4 linked regions of the Arabidopsis thaliana genome follow. The protein of the gene in region 3 purifies or fractionates together with the protein of the main gene of each other region. This does not show direct contact. Each region holds a gene or a part of one and is shown on either strand. Other genes may lie near its edges. The genes, in order: AT1G06790, AT3G49000, MAA3 and AT1G32730.

Evidence for each region.
Region 1: the proteins of MAA3 (region 3) and AT1G06790 fractionate together in Arabidopsis thaliana (co-fractionation; one large-scale study listed by BioGRID). This does not show direct contact.
Region 2: the proteins of MAA3 (region 3) and AT3G49000 fractionate together in Arabidopsis thaliana (co-fractionation; one large-scale study listed by BioGRID). This does not show direct contact.
Region 4: the proteins of MAA3 (region 3) and AT1G32730 fractionate together in Arabidopsis thaliana (co-fractionation; one large-scale study listed by BioGRID). This does not show direct contact.

What each region holds. Positions count from the first base shown.
Region 1 is NC_003070.9:2,085,528-2,089,960, reverse strand, and holds AT1G06790 (RNA polymerase Rpb7 N-terminal domain-containing protein), read right to left. Parts: upstream 2,780-4,433; 5' UTR 2,597-2,779; intron 2,319-2,596; 5' UTR 2,317-2,318; coding exon 2,206-2,316; intron 2,103-2,205; coding exon 2,007-2,102; intron 1,660-2,006; coding exon 1,572-1,659; intron 1,401-1,571; coding exon 1,316-1,400; intron 1,196-1,315; coding exon 1,126-1,195; intron 1,042-1,125; coding exon 952-1,041; coding exon of another isoform or gene 922-951; exon of another isoform or gene 749-921; coding exon 674-748; 3' UTR 514-673; downstream 1-513. Other genes in the region: PLA-I{gamma}1 (alpha/beta-Hydrolases superfamily protein), read left to right, coding at 174-423; GAUT6 (galacturonosyltransferase 6), read right to left, coding at 3,108-3,383, 3,724-4,245, 4,379-4,433.
Region 2 is NC_003074.8:18,160,629-18,166,529, reverse strand, and holds AT3G49000 (RNA polymerase III subunit RPC82 family protein), read right to left. Parts: upstream 3,971-5,901; 5' UTR 3,628-3,970; coding exon 3,556-3,627; intron 3,482-3,555; coding exon 3,328-3,481; intron 3,236-3,327; coding exon 3,123-3,235; intron 3,018-3,122; coding exon 2,945-3,017; intron 2,780-2,944; coding exon 2,628-2,779; intron 2,486-2,627; coding exon 2,345-2,485; intron 2,243-2,344; coding exon 2,150-2,242; intron 2,026-2,149; coding exon 1,914-2,025; intron 1,756-1,913; coding exon 1,597-1,755; intron 1,519-1,596; coding exon 1,481-1,518; intron 1,411-1,480; coding exon 1,318-1,410; intron 1,233-1,317; coding exon 1,149-1,232; intron 1,056-1,148; coding exon 903-1,055; intron 819-902; coding exon 684-818; 3' UTR 544-683; downstream 1-543. Other genes in the region: AAE3 (AMP-dependent synthetase and ligase family protein), read left to right, coding at 5,236-5,439, 5,633-5,901.
Region 3 is NC_003075.7:8,891,061-8,898,620, forward strand, and holds the start of MAA3 (P-loop containing nucleoside triphosphate hydrolases superfamily protein), read left to right. Parts: upstream 1-1,546; 5' UTR 1,547-1,606; intron 1,607-1,911; exon of another isoform or gene 1,912-1,934; 5' UTR 1,935-1,982; coding exon 1,983-2,090; intron 2,091-2,181; coding exon 2,182-2,326; exon of another isoform or gene 2,327-2,533; coding exon 2,534-2,667; intron 2,668-2,800; coding exon 2,801-3,022; intron 3,023-3,294; coding exon 3,295-3,486; intron 3,487-3,578; coding exon 3,579-3,614; intron 3,615-4,007; coding exon 4,008-4,093; intron 4,094-4,202; coding exon 4,203-4,253; intron 4,254-4,496; coding exon 4,497-4,608; intron 4,609-4,707; coding exon 4,708-4,813; intron 4,814-4,893; coding exon 4,894-4,991; intron 4,992-5,229; coding exon 5,230-5,331; intron 5,332-5,422; coding exon 5,423-5,515; intron 5,516-5,865; coding exon 5,866-5,919; intron 5,920-6,197; coding exon 6,198-6,256; intron 6,257-6,362; coding exon 6,363-6,447; intron 6,448-6,634; coding exon 6,635-7,006; intron 7,007-7,180; coding exon 7,181-7,303; and 3 more. Other genes in the region: AT4G15563 (F-box-like protein), read left to right, coding at 690-938, 1,013-1,288. UniProt on the Arabidopsis thaliana protein: Probable helicase that may regulate RNA molecules involved in nucleolar organization and pollen tube guidance.
Region 4 is NC_003070.9:11,839,385-11,843,831, forward strand, and holds AT1G32730 (electron carrier/iron ion-binding protein), read left to right. Parts: upstream 1-1,525; 5' UTR 1,526-1,692; coding exon 1,693-1,814; intron 1,815-2,107; coding exon 2,108-2,169; intron 2,170-2,452; coding exon 2,453-2,540; intron 2,541-2,758; coding exon 2,759-2,861; intron 2,862-2,963; coding exon 2,964-3,572; 3' UTR 3,573-3,924; downstream 3,925-4,447.

The sequences.
Region 1 (4,433 bases), on a different chromosome or scaffold from region 3:
ATGGAGAATAATGGGGTCATTTAGTAATCTGATTTACGTGGCACTTCTTTCTTTCATGGGTAGGTTGGAGAGAATTTAATTATCGAAAACTACTAGGAAATAAATTTGTCGTTTAGAGCATAATAGTATTAGTATGAGTTGATGAATCTGGATTATTGTTTAAAAAAACATAGGTATCATGGGAAAGGACAGAGATTTGTGTTATCAAGTGGGAGAGATCCAGCGTTAGTGAACAAAGCATCTGATTTTTTGAAAGACCATTTCATGGTCCCTCCTTATTGGCGCCAAGACGCAAACAAAGGGATGGTGAGGAACACTGACGGCCGTTGGATTCAACCTGATCGCATCCGTGCAGATGATCAACATGCTCCTGACATACATCAACTCCTCACCCAACTCCATCATCCATCACAACTCTTGTAATTTATCGATTTTTTTTTGGTTTTTAATCTTCCTAATTTGTGTCATTGCCTTTTTACATTACAGATAAACAAAATTGAACGTCCCTATCTTAGTGAAAACCCGTGCATAGTTTAAAATAAATTTTAAGTTTTCATCAAAACTGGCTTGATCATCATCTGTTAAAATTTCATCTGACAATGCCTAGACTAAGTCTCGGTCTCTCACCCTTCTTGATCAACCTGTTCATAAGAATCCCACCTGTTTCGGTCACTCACTCTTCTTGATCAACCTGTTCATAAGAATCCCACCAAGAAACAGGACCCAAACCATCATCATCCATATTCCCCTGCGCAGTACACAAGATTGATTGACCACTGGACCGACGTAGGAAAACCAAAACAAAAAATCATGGTGTCTCAAAATAAAAGTTAAGTATCTATAAGAGAGGAGGGAATCAGGAGGCTTATCTGACCTTACTTAACTAGCGTTGTTTATAATGCATATACAAGTGGAAAAGTTTCAGAGAATGAGTTTGATGAATGAACTTACAGTGACCACCATTGGAGCAAAAGGCTTTGCGTCCTCTGCTCGCTCAGTTGGAACTGATGGATAGCTGATGCTCTCTACTCGAAACTTGATCTGCCATTTACAATGCCTCGTTATAAAAACATACCACATTCAGATAATTATGCTTAAAGATACATGCAGGAACCAAAAATTCACCTGACAGGCATCGTCAACAATATAGTCTTCTTTCGGTTCTCCATATTCCCACACCCATATCATTTGCTTCCTGTGAACCAAAAAACATTATACTTTGTGATCAAATGATATATAAAGATGTTGGTGCAATCTCCTACTCATAGTTGGAGAGCTGGTAGTACTACATAAACTGCAGGACACATATTCTTACCTATTATAAGGGTCAGGCTCACAGCGGTTGGGTTTCGGCATAAGTGGAGCAGGCACATAAATATCGTCAAAGAATCCAAGTGTTACTGCCAAGTATAGAGGTACCGTAAGCATGTAAATGATTAACCATATCCATGATTTCAAAGTATTAATCCAATTCATAAGTAGCTAATAAGCTAACAATGTACTAGAGTAGCAGGATGCAGACAGTGCACAACATTGGAATTCTTCAGGGAACAGTATAATAAAGTACTCACAGCGCAAGCCATTGGCGTCAGATTCTTTGAACTTTGCAGCTATGACCTCACCAACAAATGGACGGAACACAACAATTCTAAGACCTACCTACAATCACACAAACAAAGTATTAACAACACGACATGAGATATTGAATCAAGGCAAGATAAAACTTTTGAAAATAAAATTCTTAACCAAAACCGTACAGTGAAAGTTAGACTAACAGATAACGATTCCGAAGAACCAAAATCTCAGAATGGTTTGAAACTCTAGTACGGTAATGATGAGTCTACAAAGATGTAACTCAATACAGTGCAGAAAGTGTGCAATACACGGTGATAGGTCAACAATGATGCCACTAACAGTGACATTGGGAGGCCATAAAATTGATATAAAAAACCATGTTCAACTGATAAAAGAATAGAGATGAGAAAAGATCAGCAATTTGGATATACCTTATAGGTCGCAGCACCATCACCGGGTAACACAAACCCTCCTTCTACTGATTTAATGTCGTAAATAGATACACAAAGCCCCAAATCAGCTAAAACCTTTCATAGCAAAAATCCACTTTGATAAAATTAGCCAGGTGTGTATATAAATAAGCAAACAATGGATACCATAAAAGTGAAAGAAAAAGGGCAATGAGCAAACCTTGTCCAAGAACACATTTTGAAGCACTGACTTAATGGCATCTTCGAGAGGGAGATTAAGTAGATGCGGAGGCACTCTTAGTGAATGTTCTAGCTCGCTAAGATAAAACATTTCTGAAAATTTTGTTCAAAATTCACAAGTCAGATGCATGGAAAATTGGAAACAAACAATCAAAGAAGTAGAATTCGAATAACGAATCAGACAAATTCGGAGCATTCTTGGTCATTAACATGCATATCATCAAAAGTTCCAAAATTCAAATCTAAAATTCATTAAATCATAGTACGTAATAATAGCCCAATCCTCAAGATTAAGCATGTGCAGAGCGTACAAAAATCTGCCATTGTCATAACTATACGAGAGAACAAAACTATCTAAAATCGGGCAATACCTAAACCATTGAAGATAAGATGGTCTCGAAGGGAACTCGGAGAGATGGTGATGAAGACAACGATTAGACGGAAAAGTGAGAAGTTGGGAATAGATTGGAAGAAGAGAGAACCTACTAATCGAGTGAGGAAGATGCGGAAGAAGAAGAACGATTTAGGGTTTAGTTATTAAAGTCAAGAATTAAAACAAACCGATCGGTTTGTCATCGTTACGCTTATAAACCGAACCGAACTGAAAACCGCACTCTTTTTATTCATACCGGTGGGCCAAAAAAGGAAATTGGGCCAAGTCCAAGGTATGACAACAATCTGTTGCTGTCAGCCTGTCACTATAGTCTAAGTAATATTAAGCTCTGATGAAAAGTGTGAAAAAAGAAGAACCAAGATATACACTGATGTGGGATAAAGAATGAAGCTAATCATAACATTGATATCATGCTTGAGTAGCTTGTTTAACAAAAAGAATCTGAAACTGAACCTAAGTTGCCAGATTTTTTTTTTTTTTTTTTCGTATCAAGCTTGAAGATTGCACTGTTGCAAGTAGGTGTGATGGTAAGGGACGTGTATGTTCCAGTAACGTTTGTAATTCTCTTTTCCAATGTCCAACCACGGCTTCATGACCCCATCGTAGTGTATAACTGCCGCTTGTTCGATGTCAACCGCTTTGACTCCTGATTCGCGACCTAACCCCATCACATGCCATCTCTTGTCCAATGCTAATGTTTGCCTATAGAAAGTCAACCAACCTATTGGTAAGCTCCCAGCTTTCCACAATGGTCTCTTTGTTCCCTGCCAAAAAAACAAATTCCCCAAAACCATTGTTAGGTTTACGCCCATTACATAGACAAGATATGTTGTTGCTTGTAACCATTCTTCTTCTAGGAGATGATCTTTAGCACTAGCTTGCTTATGTTCTTTGCTAGTTACAGCAATGTTATTTGTGTTCTAAATTCAAAACCTTTCATCCTCGATATAGCCAACCTAAAACCTAATAATTATTACAATCTTTTTCATATATAATGACGAATCAACAAATCTAAGAACCCATTTGAAAACTTTGAATATGGCTACAGTGTTATTTCCATAGGGAGAGCAAGTGCAGTAGAGTGTGTGTGTGTATATAGCGTACCAGGTTGAAGTATTTTATGTATGTAGAAGTCAACTTCCGTATTCTCCATTCTTCGAGATCAATTAGATTCATCCCGAAAGCCCATGTGCAAGCTCTAGGACTAAATTTCCCAGCGACCCATGTGTCTGAGAAATTAATAAATGTGCTCATTGATCGAAATGAAGATTCACCTTCAAGACAAGTCTCTACAGCTCCAACCACCTTTCCTTTCATATCAATGCTCCACAGTCTACTTAAATCTCTTTGAACAACTACATCATGGTCCAAGAGTACCATCTTGTTCAAACCCGGGAATATATCCGGGAGATAGAAGCGTGCGTGATTGAGTGTAGAAATGAATCTTGGGTCATTAGAGTTTTGCTTCATCAGTAATTGATCATAATCTCTAGGCAGGACATCCATATCATCAATGTTTAGGATTTGGATAGTAGCTTTACTTTGAATGTTTAGCAGAAACCACATTGAGATTGCTGGGTAATTAAGTGAATCAGTCACGACATGGAAGACTATTCTTTCTGGCTCCTGCAAACAGCAATCAGAAGCCACATTAATAAGTGGCGGAAGTAAATGAGAAGATATAGTGTAAGACACTCTAAAATTAGGTATAACATATAATGATAACCAAGTAGAAATTTGTATAAGAAATGCATGATACCTTTGATGAAGATATCGTAGAGTTAACAACGACTGAAGAAGCCAAAACATTGTCA
Region 2 (5,901 bases), on a different chromosome or scaffold from region 3:
TGGAGTAATTCTTCCTTGTTGACTTGTGGGATTGGTGCAGCAACCTGAGTAAAGAAACCTTTGTATAGAAGATTGAACATATTGAAGGGGAGTAGCCAACTGCTATTTGCTCATAGTTGAGTGGAGGAGTATCAGGCAGGGGAGGTTGGGAAAGAGATGTCAGAATTCTGAGATTGAGAGTTCTCAACATGTCTATGATGTTTACATCAATATTATTTCATATCTTCCGGATTATTGAAAACCCATCGATCTCTCCTTTGGACAGATAGAAGAGAACACTTTTCCATGAACTGTCTGAAGCTGTTGCACTGAAGGATTGAGAGGTCAGGCAATCAGACTTAAACGACTCTTTTTTTTTTTTTTTTTTTTTTTTTTTTTTTTTTCAAACTCAGACTTGGACGACTATTAGGCTTCATTAGACTCTGTATCACCAAAACCCGATTTTGCAATTCATCCCAAAGCTCATCAGCCATAGACCATAGTAAAGGAAAAGAAGGTTTTCTGATAGAGATTAAGAGTTTGAAAACTTAATCTGAAGTATATAATAAACAACATTTCTCTCGAAACAGTATCAATTACCTTCAAAGTTACAACTTCTCATTATGTCAAAAAAAAAAAAAAAAATGCTAGAAGACAATGTGAACTAAATCGACCAAAAGAAATTAGTTTTTGAATGTATGAGTTTAAAAGTCATGAAAAAGCATAATGGCATCATCAAGTTTAAACATAGTGGAAGAGAGTAACAGCCTCTTGGCTTTGACCTTTTTCAGTCTCTCCTTTAATGGTCCTTCCAGTTTATCTAATGGCAACAACAGCAACTGCCACAAAAGCAATAACAGTTTTTTTAGTATCTGGACCATCTTGAAACACATTTGGGTTAATCGATTTGCAGTGTGACTAACCTCTTTTTCGGCTTCTAACTCATGGGCCAACCTAAGACTCAAGTTAAGGGACGCATGGTACATCTCATCCAACATTTGAGTTGTCACAATCAACTTGTTTACCTTCCACAACAGAAACGGTGTATACATACCCGGAGCTGTGACCGCCAATTTCTACAAAAATGAACAGAAGATAACAACAATGAATCTCGTAACAACCAATTCGTTTTACTTTTGATAATGATTTGGTTTCCAAACTGTGAATACCTGCATATGTAAGTATCCGTCTTTCCACATCTTTAAAAGGAATTGCGGTGTATCTTTCTTTTCAGTCAGCGCGGCATCAGCAATCTTACAGAGAGAAAAAAATGATGAAGTTAAGAAATCATTATGACTTAAGATGTTTCTATATGAATCATAAAGAACAGTCATTAACCTTATCGGTCTCAACAAAACGCCCTTCCTGTGATAAGTATCTGAACATTCTGAAAGCTTCTTTCCCATATCTTCTCATCACTACTGCCTCTATCTGGAAACATCTCAAAGATACCGTTTTTAGTTTCAGAAATATATCAAGAAAAGAAAAATATGAAACGCACCTCATCTTTCTGTGCTACGCTGATAATGGATTTATAATCTGCAAAACCAAATAACAAAATAATATTATTTTGAATACAAGAATCATTTGACTAGATTTTGAATGGAGTTACTATACCAACTATGTATGAATCATTCACTTCGTTCACAAATGCTGGTAGATAAGAAGACGTAGCACTCAATTGGTCAAGGCATGCTTCAACTCGCTCTTGTAACATAGTGCGACCTGCTTCTGTCTTAATAACTTCTTCATAAATGGAACCAACTGACATTGGAGCTGTTTCAAAGATTATAGCAAATTCAGTTAACAGAACTTCATAGGTGGACTTTTGGTGGAGAGTGCAAAATAATTCACACCAAATACAATTTTAACTTCAGCATATTATGATTATGTTAAGATATTGAATGAAAATGAGTGAGAAACTCAAATATTACCCGAATTGTCTGTTTTCACCTTCTTCTCTTGCGATCTTCCTACTTCTAACATTGCCCTCAAGACAATGGCACATCCTTCATCCCGGCGCTCTTTCACTATCTCCACACACGCCTTAAACAAAGAAACAAGTGGTTAATAGATTGGAACAGTAAGACATTCGGAAAGCAAAATTTGAAATGCCAATGAGCTTTTTTCCTCATCAAACAACCTCAAAAGAGAAACACGGATAACTAACCTTATGTCTAAGGCGGTGGATGAACTCCTCAAAATTAGGACGCCAAATTACTCCACTGCTCGAATCTGATGTGTCCACATCACGTTGTTTACGCTAAAATATTCGGTTCAATGAGAAACATCAACAAAGGTATTCAGAGCTACATCATTGAAAAATGTATGATTACAAGATTGGTTATGGTACGAATGTTGATACCTTCCCCTCAGTGATGTTGCTATTGTCATCTGCTAAAGATGAATTGGAATCTTCTTCGAATATAAGTGGAAACCTTATTGCGTCAACTGGAGTTGCTGCTTCAACAACTTGTTCCTCCAAGGTTTCTGGTTCTTTAAGAATCTACACCGTTCCAAGAGATTTATTAATATCGAACAGAATAGAAATAATATCAAAACTGAGAGTCATGTCTCTGCAATTTGTAGGTCTGATATATCAGACCATGTATAGGTATACCAAACACCAGAAAGAAATTATCAATTACCTTGGCAGCTTTAGCGCCTCTTCTCTTTGCCGGCTCTTTTTCTTTGTTTCCAAGAACAGGTTCGGGAGAAGGAATGCGCTCAACAAAACGGGCAGCAACCAATTTCTGAAGAGAATCTCTGATTGCTTCAGAACCTATCGTATTTCCTGAATCTGATCATGTATGAAGAAAACATATATAACAGCATGGAATCCATTCCGCTCGAAGCATTACTGTAATCAAAACGAGATACACAAAGGCCAAAAGCCAATGCCTACGATGACGAGTGTAAACTGTGGTAACATAACATAAGAGGTACATATGATATCACGACTCACCTCTATCTCTTTCAATAAACTGTCCCAAGGTAAGCCTACCGTTACTAAGTAAACCATCAAGAACTGCACCGCACTAAACATATAAATCAAACAAAAGTATAAGATTAGCATTAGAGTCTTGAAGCATAAACCAACTAATCAAAACACTGAACAGAGAGAAGAAGAAGCACGATTAAACCTTGGAGTCAAGTTCTTCGTTTACAATCCTCGAAAACTTGTTATACCTCACACGATGCAGAATGTTGTTAAACAACACAATATACTGTACAATAGCTTTGCTCTCAGAACCATCTACAAAGTAAAAAAAAAAAACATACAAAATTACTTTCATTGAGTTCTCTATTTCTGTGTGTTGCTACTAATCAAACAATATAGAGACTAACCAGGAGGTTCAATGGAGAAAGCTTGAACACAATTGTGCTGAATCAAGAGATAGAGAATATCTTTAACTTTGTTATGGTTGATATCTGATTCAGCTAAACGAGAGATGTCTCGTGAGGAAAGAGGTCCTTTACGTAGAAGACATTCACAAACTTTCTGCAACCAAAACCAAATTCGTTATACAGAGATTATAAATTCAACACAAGTCTCAGAAGGGTTTCTCAATTTACCGAGACGACGGAGCCGAATTGGACGGTGATGATATGGATGGCGTAGACAATGCCAAACTCAGACATAGACATGAGAATCAATCACCAGGAAGTCTCTCAATACTGATGAAGCAGCCTCTGCAGAGCTTGACGGAGTTATGGCCGATATAGAGATGTTTGCCAATCGATTGTAGCCTACTACTACTAAAAAGCGAAGCAATCGTAATCTAGCGACCCTAAAGTTTAATTTTTCCAGCGATCCACACGTTCGAATCCAAAATTTCGATAATCTAACATGAACCCACCAATATAAGTATAAGAAAACACCAACCCAGGGCTAGGGCTTTTGTTTTTTATAAGGACTCGGGCCGGCCTTAAATATTTAGCCCATTTTAACATCCCTAATTGTAGGTTATTAATTGTTGGCCTAGAGAAGTTTGGGCCTATCAGGCCCTAATAAATTGAATGTATGGTTTGACCCAAGAAAAAAAATTAGTGATGGAACGAAATGTACTTGAGAATTTTCAATGATTGGGCCAGATGACAATGCTCTACTTAAGAAGAACAAACACAAACCAAATTCTTCTATTGTATTTGTATGTGACGGCTTACATGAAGACCATGTTTTTACTTAGTTAGGAGAATGGAAAATGACTTTTTCAGCTTCATGAATATGACTTATATTTTAAAACACTGTCGTTTTCATCTATACGAGATTTTTGTATTTCTATTCATAATCATATACATAATTTTAATCTTTAACAAATAACAAGGTAAACTAAATCTTTGATTAGTAAATTCTACTCTGACTCTCTTCTAAGCTACGCATGTTTAGTGGTTTAAATTAGTTTCATTGTTGAATAATTATCCAAATCCACTATTGTTTAGTTAGATAGTGTGCATGTATCAAACCAAATAAAATAATATAATAATTTGTATGTATAGACAAAACAAAATTGATTACTTCAAAAAGATATATGTCTCATTATATTTAGTCTTCTACTTTTTTTCTATAAATAATATATTTATTCTTATCATTCAAAGTCATTTTTACCATTTCTTATTTTAATTTTACATTTTTACCTTGGTCAATTTAATTTATTAACAATCAAAATAAGGACGTTATCTTCTATTTATAATATAAAGTATAAACAACGTCAAGCATCTTCGAAACGTGATAATCCTAGTCAAAGACACATGTGCAAAGGCCCTAAAAGTGATTAAACACTCATAGGCTATTTTTTTAATGAAACTATTCTTTTGTTTGATAATACATACACAAACTATTTCAAATTCCTATGAAATAATTCATAAACCGTAAATTACTATCGCATGCTTGCCGAAAAAAAATATTTTCAAAAGTTAATTAACTAGCCGTTTCGGTTCAGTGTTTGTACCGGAATCGAAATTAAAAAAACCACCTCTTCAAAAACCGAAACGTCGGTCTAATCGTAAGGATATATATCAGCGACTCCCACCGTTAACAAAATAATTAAAAATGAAAACATTATGACCACACGATCAATAGAAAATCCGCTACGATGATAACACGTGGCATCATCTTTTAGCCATTTTTTGCTTCCACAGATACTGTAGTAATTGAATATAAATTTATAAATATCGCATTTGCTCTCTTCTCTGCTTTCACATTCTCTCCTTCCTCATCATCGTTACTCTCGTGTTTATCTCTCCGACGTAACCATGGATAGCGATACTCTCTCAGGATTATTGGAAAACGTCGCCAAAAAATTCCCCGATCGCCGAGCTCTCTCCGTTTCTGGAAAATTCAATCTCACTCACGCGCGTCTTCACGATCTAATCGAACGCGCCGCTTCACGCCTTGTCTCCGACGCTGGAATCAAACCCGGCGATGTCGTTGCTCTCACCTTCCCTAACACCGTCGAGGTATTTTAAGAGGTTTTCATATATTTCGATTTAAAAGCTTCGTTTCTGGTTTTGTTTTGCGTGCTGAAGAATCACATGGGAAGCAGAATTTATGAATATCTGTAAATCGCTTCTTAATTGAGAAATTTTGATTTCCGGATTCAGATGATTTTTTTGGATGAATTTGGTTTTGATTTTTTTTTTTTGTTTTCAGTTTGTTATAATGTTTTTAGCGGTGATAAGAGCTAGAGCCACGGCGGCGCCGTTGAACGCAGCGTACACGGCGGAGGAATTTGAGTTTTACCTCTCCGATTCAGATTCAAAGCTATTGTTAACCTCTAAAGAAGGAAACGCACCGGCTCAAGAAGCAGCTTCAAAGCTGAAAATCTCTCACGTCACCGCTACGCTGCTTGACGCTGGCTCGGACCTTGTACTATCCGTTGCGGATTCAGATTCCGTCGTTGACTCAGCGACGGAACTCGT
Region 3 (7,560 bases):
GTGCTATTTGATGAATAGGTGATTGATCTTTGTGCATTAAGTAGCTGTTCTACGTTTTGGAGAGAGTTATGTGGTTCTGATATCTTATGGGAACCTCTGTTTAGGCAAAGATGGCCTTTATTGTCCTCATTTGAATCTGATGGAGACAATACTCTGTTTCTTTAAACCCAAACCAATGAAAATTCTCAGGTAGAAATGAGACAGTTCCATGGATTCTTGTTTCTTTCAAATTCAAGTTTCTGAGTTGTTTTAGATTTTGGCCATTTTTGTAGGATAGTGAGTTTGTTTGTTGTTGAATTGAATTCTATTTATGATGAATTGGTTCTCATTAGATGGATGATGTTTGATTGACATGGTAGAGAACAATTGTTTAGTTGAGATATTTAACAATTGTTCTGTCTTGGAGAAACAAATTACTGAGGCATATTGAAGGTGATGTGATTCTTGATATTATCTGCTTTAATTGTGGATAGTTGGATTATAGAAAGCTTGAGACTTTTTTCTTGAAGAGGTGATAGTTGGAATTGGACATGGTCATCATAATCGTTTATATATCTCAACTTGCAGTTAGACTTTGCTTGTTTATAATTTGTTGTTGTGGCAGAGACTAAAATTCTTTGTTGTTGCGTTAGCATTACTTTGAGGTCTATTACAGGTTTCATGAATAGTCTATTTTAAAGCTTTTGTAGGAATGGAGAAGATTTTATGTGATGCAACACAAGGAAATGGCATCAAGAGCTTCCGAGGTGATTAAATATGTGACTAAGTCTCCTGCTACGTTGTCTTTAGAGGCAGGTATATATCTGCACGCGGTTGAAACCATGAGCTCGATGCGGTTTGGATTTCAAGATGTGGAGTTATTTTTCTTCAAACCAAACTTAAGTGTGCTGCTCAACCTCATTGGACTCATTTACTGCATACAACACTTGAAACCGCGGGTTAGTTACTCCCAGAGAAAGTCGACCGGCCTTTCGGAACATTTTCTAACTTCTTTAACATTTTCTTTCTGCAGCGAGAGCAAGTCGTGGATGTGCTAAGGCAATGTGGAATCTCAGAGCAGCTAGTTTGGGTGAAATGGTTAACGTTAGGTCGATGGTCAGGTGGGAGTCGAATGAGAGACGACATCGTGTCGCGTCAGGTCTCTCTAGTCGATGTTGTAACAGGGAAAGAAGAAACGGTTCTACGAGTGCTTCAACGAGGAGTTGTTCACGAAGTTCTACGTGTTTGTATCTCAACCGTTGATCTTGCCTGTGCACCTTGCAGCAGTAGCACCATCAGAAACTACTAAACTGTTTCAAGGATTCGAGGATTACAAGTTGAATTGGATTCAATGAATGTGATTAAACATGTGATATTGAAACAGTATTGAAGTTCGAGTAAATAATAACAACGCGCAATTCAAATGCAAACGATTGTATGGAGAATTAACTGTAAGAAATTCGCGGTAAAAAAACTGAAATTATAGGATTCATATATTGGGCCTTAGTATATTTTCGGCCCATTACCAAAATTATCTTAAACAAGTTTGAGTCCTAAACCCTTTTCTCCGGTTACAGCTACACCGCCGTTTTCTCTCTCCGCCGTCTTTTCTCTTCTTCTCCGACTGGTAAAAATCCTCTCTCCAGAACTCTGGTCTCCCGTTATATATATATGCTCGTCTACATTCTCCAATTGCTTCTCGAGTTCTTAGCTCATATCAGTCACATGTTGTTCTCTGTAAATTCAATTCCCTAATTTCAATTTGAAATTTTCTCTGTTGGTGAAAAGGCTCTGCTATTTGATTAGGTTGATGCATAGTAATTCGATTTCGAAACTCTGCTTTTAATTCCATAGACTATATAATGGAAAAGATGATGATAACAAGTTACTTGACTGATGATTATACAATCACATTATGCTTATGCTAAAGTTTTTTTTTTTGTATGTTCATGTAGAATCTGTGAAGGTGAATTTCGGAGTTGAGAAAGAGAGATTAGCGTGTAATGGCGATCGATAATGGCAAGCTTCAAGAAGAAGAAGCCTCATCTGTTACTCGATTCTATAACATTATTTTGGGTTGGGACTATAAACAGCTTACTAAAGAGAATGAGGTACTTCATCATCATACAACAAACTCCGTTTCTTCTTAGGCGAATGTGAGATTTGTTTTTCTTTTATCTTACTGTGTATTATGTAATGCAGAGGAAAAATAGAAAGGATTCTAAAGAGAAATTGAATGTTGTAAAGAATACTTATAAAGATGTTGATGATTATTTCGAGACTTTTGAACCATTGCTCTTCGAGGAAGTTAAAGCTCAAATTTTGCAGAATAAAGATGGTGAAGAAGGTTAGATACATAGAACTTAAATACAATTGGCTTTTTTCTTATTACTTTTGTCCATCCATTGATCATGAAAGAAAGTGGCAGTTGTTATTTTCAGCTATTAAAACTAAATTTGTATACTTGTAGTAAGGTTTTATGTTTAGATAACTAGTTTTTAACGTATTTGGTTCTGGTTGTGGAAATGGTTTTTTCTGTCTTTTTTCCTCTTAGCATCGGTGTGTAAAATGAGATTGGTAATGGAGTGCAACGAGGGCGAAGGGTTTCACTTTCTGTTAGTCACATACGAACATGAGGAGGATGAATATCTTGCTCAAAATGATCTTTTATTGCTATCAAAAGAAGAGGTACATATACTATTCCTTTGTTTTTGTTTGATTTTCCGAGGGTGTTGTATGACTTGCATTTCTGATTTTGTACTTTCTTGTATAAAATTTTCATTATCGAATGTTGGATTCACTTAGAGATTAACTTTTGCAGGTTAAAGGGAATTCATTTCCTTCATCTTATGGGTTTGCTGTAGTGGAACATCGTCAAAATAATCTTCTTCGTCTTCGGATGTATTTAGCTGAAGACATTGTGCAGATAACCAAGAATACTAAATCCTCTAGAACAAAGTCATTTATCCAAGCGCTTTCAAATATGCGTTCTCTTATTACATCATCTGCCAGCCCTATTGACAAAAGGGTATTCAGTTTAAAGGTCAGTTGTTATGAGACACAGCAACTATGTATAGTTATTATATCATTTGTTTTTTTCCATAAATTGGATGATAAGCCTTAATAATGTGGTCTAGTTTTAGGTTGTGTTATGCTAGCTTGGCTTCTCTTTTCTCTTTCTTTTATACTTTAATACTAGTTAGAATCTTAATGAACTTAAGCGACTGTTGTTGACATGATACATATCCTTTCTAGATATAATATAGTTCCCTTCTCTGATACAGCGTCTTTCATGGATGGTTTGTTAATTTGTAGTTATGTGGTTTATCAACCATTATTCGGGAATATATAGCACTACGATCAGTTAGTTCGCTCCCTTTCAAGGATTTAATCTTCACTGCAGCAGAAAAATCTTGTGGTTTTGGAGATGAAGCATGGAAAATATCTGGACCTCTGAATGAATTCTTTAACGAAAACCTTAACAAATCCCAAAAGGAGGCAATTGATGTAAGTCTAGCCTTGTAAATTCTTTCCTTAGAGACTTTGACAGTTTCCCTAACACAGATTTGGGCTCTTTGTTTCAAAATACAATTTTGCAGGTTGGTCTATCAAGAAAATCCTTCGTCTTAATACAGGTTGACTTCTCCACTTATAATTGTTTTATTGTTTCTTGAGGACTTATTACTTAGCTTTTACATGTTAAGATTGCATGTCAAAAACACAATCATTTTCAATGAGAAAGCCCTCAATTGACATGAAATTAAAATTCTCCAGCATGCTTACTGAGCTAGCACTCAAAGTCTTATATTTGACTCTCAAGATTGCCTTTTAAAAATATGCAGATGAAAACCAAAATTATTCTAAGTTGGCATTTTTTAGATCTTGTTGACTACATGAATATGAGAAACTTCTTTGTCAAACTGTATTGGCAGTCAATAGGGATATAACAGACTTGTTTTTCAAATTGCATTGAAAAGCAGATGAATTAATCTAATGATTTGGATACTAATGAGTCTATCCTTCTTTAGGGTCCTCCAGGTACCGGGAAAACTCAGACGATTCTTAGCATACTTGGTGCTATTATGCATGCTACTCCCGCAAGAGTCCAGTCTAAGTATGATTTCTTACATGCTATCCTTTGACACTCACTTGACTATGTGCAGCTCCGAGTTAAGATTATAACTATGCTTTGCATTCTGAAATTCCCTTTTTATTTATAATAGGGGTACAGATCATGAAGTAAAGCGTGGTATTCAGATGACTATCCAGGAAAAGTATGATTTTGCTCCCATTAAGATCTTTTAAATATTTCGATACTCAGTTCTCTCGCATACCCAGATGTGTGTTCATAATGATTCGAAAATGTTATTATTATCTATATCATATGGTGTTTTATTTGAAATCTTGCAACTTAAGAGTAATTGGAATAATATTGCATTGCATCAATAGTTTGGTCTGAAATATCACATACCATACATCCCTCTTGTTGAACATATTTCACTATGTCTTGTCTGCAGATACAATCACTGGGGAAGAGCCTCTCCTTGGATTTTGGGTGTCAACCCTCGAGATGCTATTATGCCTGAAGATGGTGACGATGGGTTCTTTCCAACCTCAGGAAATGAATTGGTAAGTCGGAAGATTTTATTCTGAGACAAATGGTAACCCCACATTTATTTCTTTTATCATATAGTAACCCCACTTTTCTGATTCTCTTTTGATGTTCAGAAACCGGAGGTGGTTAATGCGAGTCGGAAGTACAGATTACGTGTACTTGTCTGTGCTCCATCAAACTCTGCACTTGATGAGATTGTGTTGCGGCTTCTGAGTTCGGGTATGTGGTTAATCCAATTCATTATTTCATTATTTGAAAATTGGTAATGGTCTTATATGTTATGGTTTCTGCACTCTCAGGTCTTCGTGACGAAAACGCCCAGACATATACACCCAAAATAGTACGAATTGGTCTCAAGGCTCATCACTCTGTTGCGTCAGTATCACTGGATCACCTTGTATGTATCTAGTTTCCTTTACAGTTTGATTGCCTTTCGTCCTGGCTTAATTTTGGTTGCTTGATTTAACTTTATTAAAGAATGTTCAACTGGGAATCTATCTGTCTTCAGATAAGTAAAGGTCTGTTTAAGTATATTCATTCGGAGGAATCACACTTGTAGAGAACAAACAACGAAATAACAAAGTTTGTTGACAAATCTTGCCTTTGGGTACTGTTCTGACAACACTCTTTTGCAGGTGGCACAAAAGCGTGGCTCTGCCATCGATAAGCCAAAACAAGGGACTACAGGAACTGATATAGATAGTATCCGCACTGCAATTTTGGAAGAGGCTGCGATTGTATGGGGATTTAACTTTCGTATTAATGTAATTCAAAGCTTTTTTATTTTTCTTCCCTGAATCACCTACTTCTGTTTCTTTGCACTTTCAGGTGTTCGCTACCCTTAGCTTCAGTGGCTCTGCACTTCTTGCTAAATCTAACCGTGGTTTCGATGTCGTTATAATAGATGAAGCTGCGCAAGCTGTAAGCCCCTTCCAATAGAATATGGACTAATGCTCGATTTTTTTTGCTTAGTTTACACACTCTAAATGTCAGAGGGTTTTACTTTAAAGTGGAAATAATAATGCTTTGTTTTTTAAAAACTTTCTCATGGCATGTCATTACATTAAATTGAGTCATGTGTTAGCCCTGACCTATGTTGAAGTGTAAAGAAAATTTTAATCCTGGTTCGTCCTAGTCAGAGTCTGTCATGTATCTTATAAGTAATTGTTTTTGCTACGCAACTTAAAAAGCTTATGCAGGTAGAGAAATTTTTAATGCTTATATTCCCCATGTTCATTGCTAATGAAATTTACTCTTGTGTACTTTGCCAGGTTGAGCCAGCAACTCTTATCCCTTTGGCCACTAGGTGCAAACAAGTATTTCTGGTAAGATCCAATAGGTTACCCTTCATGTATCAAAATTGCAGTTAGTTTCCGGGTACATAAAATAAGTAGATGATTCGACACACACCATCAGTAGCTTCAAAGAATGAAGCATGCCTTACTTTTTTTGAAATTGAAGAATATAGATGTTAAAATAGTTGCATCTTGAAACTGTAGATGTTACAGGCAAGCGCAACACCATAAGTTTATGAGTTAATGATTAATGTTAAAGGCAACTTTGGTAGCTATGGATATCCTTATGTAAAATCTAATTTTATCAGGTAGGGGATCCAAAGCAACTCCCAGCTACTGTAATCTCAACTGTTGCTCAGGATTCTGGGTAAGTGCTTTAATCCAGTCATTGCATCCACACTTTATCTGTTTATGTCTCTCGTGTATATTGTATTGACACTATTGGATTGCTGTCTTTACTTTCTATAATGAAGGTACGGTACAAGCATGTTCGAGAGACTTCAAAAGGCTGGCTATCCAGTAAAAATGTTGAAGACCCAATACCGGATGCATCCAGAGGTACGGACATTCTTTCATCTAGCATCCACCTAAGACAGATTCTCACTGAATATCAGATTTCTTAAAGAATTATCATCAGTTGATACCTATTTCACAAACCAAGCCAAAGATTGTAGTTAGCTTAATTCTTACTCCAATGATTGCATCTTATTTTACCCTGCAAACAATTTTTTTAACTGAAAATCAGATAAGAAGCTTTCCGTCAAAGCAATTCTATGAAGGGGCACTAGAAGATGGATCTGACATTGAAGCTCAGACTACTCGTGACTGGCATAAATACCGGTGCTTTGGTCCATTTTGCTTTTTTGATATACATGAAGGGAAAGAGTCTCAACATCCAGGAGCAACTGGTTCTCGGGTAAATCTAGACGAGGTGGAATTTGTTCTTCTCATCTACCACAGACTTGTAACCATGTACCCGGAGCTGAAGTCTAGTTCTCAGCTAGCTATTATATCACCGTATAACTACCAAGTAAAAACTTTCAAAGATCGGTTTAAGGAGATGTTTGGTACAGAGGCAGAAAAAGTGGTTGATATCAACACTGTTGATGGGTTCCAGGTCAATATTCTACCCTCTTTCTCACAGTTCAACATCAATTGTGCTCATAAACAAATTAAAATGCATTAGATTCTGCTTTTATACTAATCTAAGAACTTGAACCGTAGAATTGTACTTACAGTCCAAAGTTTTCATCCATTTCTTTTTCGTTTTTTTCCTCATCTTGATGAAAAGGGAAGGGAGAAGGATGTTGCAATATTTTCATGCGTCAGAGCTAACGAAAATGGACAAATCGGTTTTCTCTCTAATTCTCGGCGGATGAATGTGGGGATTACACGAGCCAAGTCTTCAGTATTGGTAAGGCATATAAAGAAAACTTTCATAGAAACGATTCTCTAACTTTTTCTCCATATATTTATATACCCTCTCTCTGATTCTATCTCACTGATCCATTATCCATTGAAACTTGCTTATCAGGTCGTTGGTTCAGCTGCAACATTGAAGAGCGATCCACTTTGGAAAAACCTTATCGAAAGTGCTGAGCAAAGAAACCGATTATTCAAGGTAAAAATAACCTTTCTTTCCGTTTGTGTTAAAAGTGTCAACTGCTGCAA
Region 4 (4,447 bases), on a different chromosome or scaffold from region 3:
TAATTTTGGAAGACTTTGAGTTTTAAGATCTTTCTTTTGTTAAACCAGATTTGAAAAGAGCTTTATATTATCTTTGATAAAACTAATGAAAATGTTGGTCTAAATTAACTATTTGAACTTGAACCTTTTAATTTTTATCTTTTAGAATTTTAGTTTATTTATTTAATATTGATATTTTGGACTTGTATTGTTTAAATCATTTTTTCTTTAATATAGTTTTATGTTAATGTTATATATATATATATAATGTTATATATATGTATAAATGTGTATACGTTTCCAAAACGTTTCCAATCCCTAATTTTAAGAAAAAATCGTTTCCCGTTTCCGAAACGTTTCGTATCCGCATTTCCGTTTCCGTTTTCATGCAACATAGATTATGCGAATGATTGCAATTTACAAGTAACAACTTGAGAGATGTACGTTCACTATGTCGCGAAGAATTGGTGAGGAAATCTTTCGTAATATTTTGTTATCCAATGGTATTTATCTCGATTGTAATCGTTAAATCATGAATGGATGGTTAAATATTTACCAAATAAATAAAAAGAAGAAGAATAATTAAAATTTATATATTGGTGAGCAAATATTATTATTCCGATTAAATTATACTTTTTAATTGTTGTTTTGTAAAATTGTTCAGTTCTGTTTTGTTTTGTAGTCTCTATTATCATCAGAGTTGTTTAGTTTGATCGTCGTGTGGACTCTTGACAGTCCTCATAGTCTACTAAATCTAAAACCAATGATAAATCAACTAATTAATTAAATAATCATGTCTATAAAGTATAAACTATATTTTTATGTGTTAACCCATCCAAATCTGCAAGTCCATACAAATTGACTCTAAATATATTGAAGCTGCAAAATCAGCCAAGTACAAAATTGACTCTAAGTATATTGAAGCTGCAAAATCAGCCAAGGTTACGCAATATAATCATATAGCGATCGATGCATCAGAATAATAAGTTAGAAAGCGATATCAATTGCAAAATAGTATAGAGTAGTATAAAAATATGAAAACACTCTGAAGTTGAATGCACCAAAATCTAAATGCATTGTTTTGTCTGCCAAATTGACTTCTATCTAGAAGCTTCTAGTGTGAAGCTCTGATACCACTTGTAACGTCCAAATCAAAGCTTCGAGTTACAAGTCAATTAGTAGAATGATTTATTGTTTTTGTTTCTTTTACTTATGAAAAGACTCTAAAGCAAAGCGAAGGAAGAGATGAGGAAGAAAAAGATTTGCCCAAACGGCAAACACTAAATTATTTAGATTGATGTTCTATTGTTCATATGAACAATAACGTCTATATATATGTGAATCTGATTCGATAGAATAACCTAATTACTTGGGCTTTTTTTGGGCTTATATTGATTTATCTGACAAGTCTGATCCCGGATAAAGTTCATGATTTGGTTAAGTTCGGTTCAATTTAAAGAGAAATTATATTGGGCTTTAAAACCCAGGCCCATATAAAAACGACTCACGTGGTATTATTAATAACCGGAGCCCTAGACCCGCCGTGAAATCGAGCGATTGAGAGCACTTCGCAAAATCAGAGCGACAAAAAAAAATAAAAACCAATCCTTTCGATTCCAAATTTTTTGTTACTCACTCGCACGAGTTTTATTTGGTCGTTAGTTATCTCTTTCGTTGAATAACGGTTTTAATTTAAACCGTTACTTTTTATCAATGGCGACTTCGTCACCGTCTCTGAGTAACAATGGTCTTTCCTCCGTCGTCACGCCTCCCAAAACTCTCCGTGGTCTCAATAAGCCTAAGTGTATTCAATGCGGCAATGTAGCTCGCTCCAGGTATTGCTTCTACGCATTGTTTCATCGAAGGACTTAGGTTTTTTACATCTGGGGTTTCGATTTATGGATTGTTCTTGGGTTTTTGATCTGAAAGGATTCGAATTTGTCTTGTATAGTACTTTTTCGTTTTGATTTAGGGTTCATAGGTTTGTGGGTTTGGGTTTTTATTCATGATTTGGTGATTAATCTGTTGGAGATTGTTTAAAGTTTTGAGCTTTAGTATCGAAAGATCAGTTTTTTGAGATTATTGGTGAAGTAATTGTAATTGTATTGCTTGGATTTGATAAATGCAGGTGCCCTTTTCAATCTTGTAAGGGTTGTTGTTCAAGAGCAGAGAATCCCTGCCCGATTCACGGTATGTTTGCCCTGTCAAATCTCAACTTCATAATTAGCTAAAGTGATCAGTTTTAGAGTTTAGTGTTGATAACTTTGATTGGAGAGTTCTATTCTTTCACTTGGTAAGTTTAGAGTTTAGTATTCTTGACTTCTATAGGGTTCGTTTGGTTGTCTCGGGACAAAAAAACCTATAAAGAACCATAAGACTGATTCTTGGAATGTGCTTGTGATTAGCTGAGAGATATAGAGATGTTATCATGGACTGTTTTGTGTTTCTTCTTATGTGTTTTATTTCGCTGCAGTTCTTAAAGTAGCTTCAACGTCTGGTGAGAAGACGCAGGCGCCAAGTACTCCATCTTCAGAGCAGAAAGCAACCGAGGGCACTCCCGGGTACATATATATAAACTAATTTTCTGTTTTGTTTGTGCTTCCATGGGCAAGTGAATCTTAGATGATAAACCGGTGTTTGCTTACTAATACTTTGATAGGAGATTCTTCAGCTTTCTTGTTTTATTGCACGTAGTTGATAGTGAGATGATATATTGGTCTTGTGGAACTAAAATATGGCGCTTTATGTTGACGTTTTCTTCTTTTGGAAATTGTTTCAGGAGTACCACTAGAGTTTCGTCAATCCGGCAACTTTCTAGCAACTTTGCTCAGTTTAATAACCTGAATGCTTCTTCCCGCCAGAGAAAACCTTTGACGATAAAGGTATACTAATTAAGACGTCTTTCATTGACTTTAGTACTCTATGAAAAATCTCCATTTAGTTGTTTTCCTCTTATCAGTTTTTGTTCTGTCTATATTCTATAGGATGCTCAAGCTTTAAACGAGTGGCGGTTTACAAAGCTAAAAGAGTACAGAGACAGAAACATTGAAGTAGAAAATGAAGCTTTTGATCGGTACATGAGTAATGTGAATTTACTCGAAGAAGCATTTTCATTTACATCTGTTCCTGATGAAGAGAGTCATGGAACAGCAGCTCCTGAGCAAAACAAAGAGGAAAATATTGTTTCAGAGCTTAAACTGAGGCTGAGATCGAACTCTGCAAGAACAGAGAGCTTTAAGAAGCGGATCGCGGAGACAGTCAAAGCCGGTTTGGTGAAGCTTAAGAGACTGGATTTAGGCAGTTCTTCAGATGATCAAGATGATATCAAAAGGCGGGTCAAAAGAAAGAAATGGGAAGAGAAAGGTTCAGCTTTGAATGAAATAATCGATAAACTGAACAAAGCAAGAACCGAAGAGGATCTCAAATCTTGCTTAGAGATGAAATCAAAGCTCTGTGGTCAAGTTTCTCCCACTGCTGCTTCCGAGAAGAACAAGATCTTTCCGGGTGTAGTCCGAAAAGTTGAGATGAGTGAAGAAGCACTTCAAAAAATCGCTGAGAATCTCCAATCTTTTGACAAAGTTGGAATGTTGTGAAGTCGAGAACATCCTGTGGATGAACTGAAAAGTTTGAGTGGCAAGAAAATTTCTAGATCCTTCGTGACCACGGTATTGTACAATGATCAAACATCCCTCAAAACTGATCCTGAAGACTCCAAAGACTCAAGAGATTCTTGTAAAGTAGTGTTGAGCATCATTTAGATATTAGAACTCAGCCATGGATAAAGCTGTTGATTCTATCTCATTGGATTTTTTTCACTGTGTGTTGTTGCTTTGTTAGATTTGAAATTGCTCATTGGATTACCTTTGACTTAATAAATAGTTGGTTTGGTTTGGTATTGGATAACCGCTCAGTCTAATTAGACCGGTTTGTTTTTTTGGAAAAAAATGAATCCATCCATCCATAGGCCACTTTCAACACGTATATTTGAAAACGACTAAAACCAAACTCTTAGATTCTAGTTTTGTTTTGCTGCCCCAATTCCACTATTGATCAAAACATATCCAAAAGTTTTTGTGGAACTAAAAAGTAAAAATAACGTTTAGTTTGTTTCCAATTTCAACCATATATATCTTATTCATATATGCATGTTGTGGTTGTCTCGTGTGTGTAGTATTCATTTACATTATGCAAACCAACTGGAAACATGTTGAATGGGTTATGGGTTGGTGGTTGGGACTTGAGGATCAAACAACTCAAATGAGCTCATTATAAGTTAAGCTCTCAATAATCATTAATTTATTTTTGTTACCACCTAATATTTCTACGAAGGGTTGGTGTAACAATTTTTAATTGTAAGATAATTGTGTAATCATTTTCAATATTAATTTTTATTATGTATTTATTTTAAAAAGTTATATAATACGTAACACATTTAGTACTTGGTTTTGGTAGCTTCATCAATGTACCA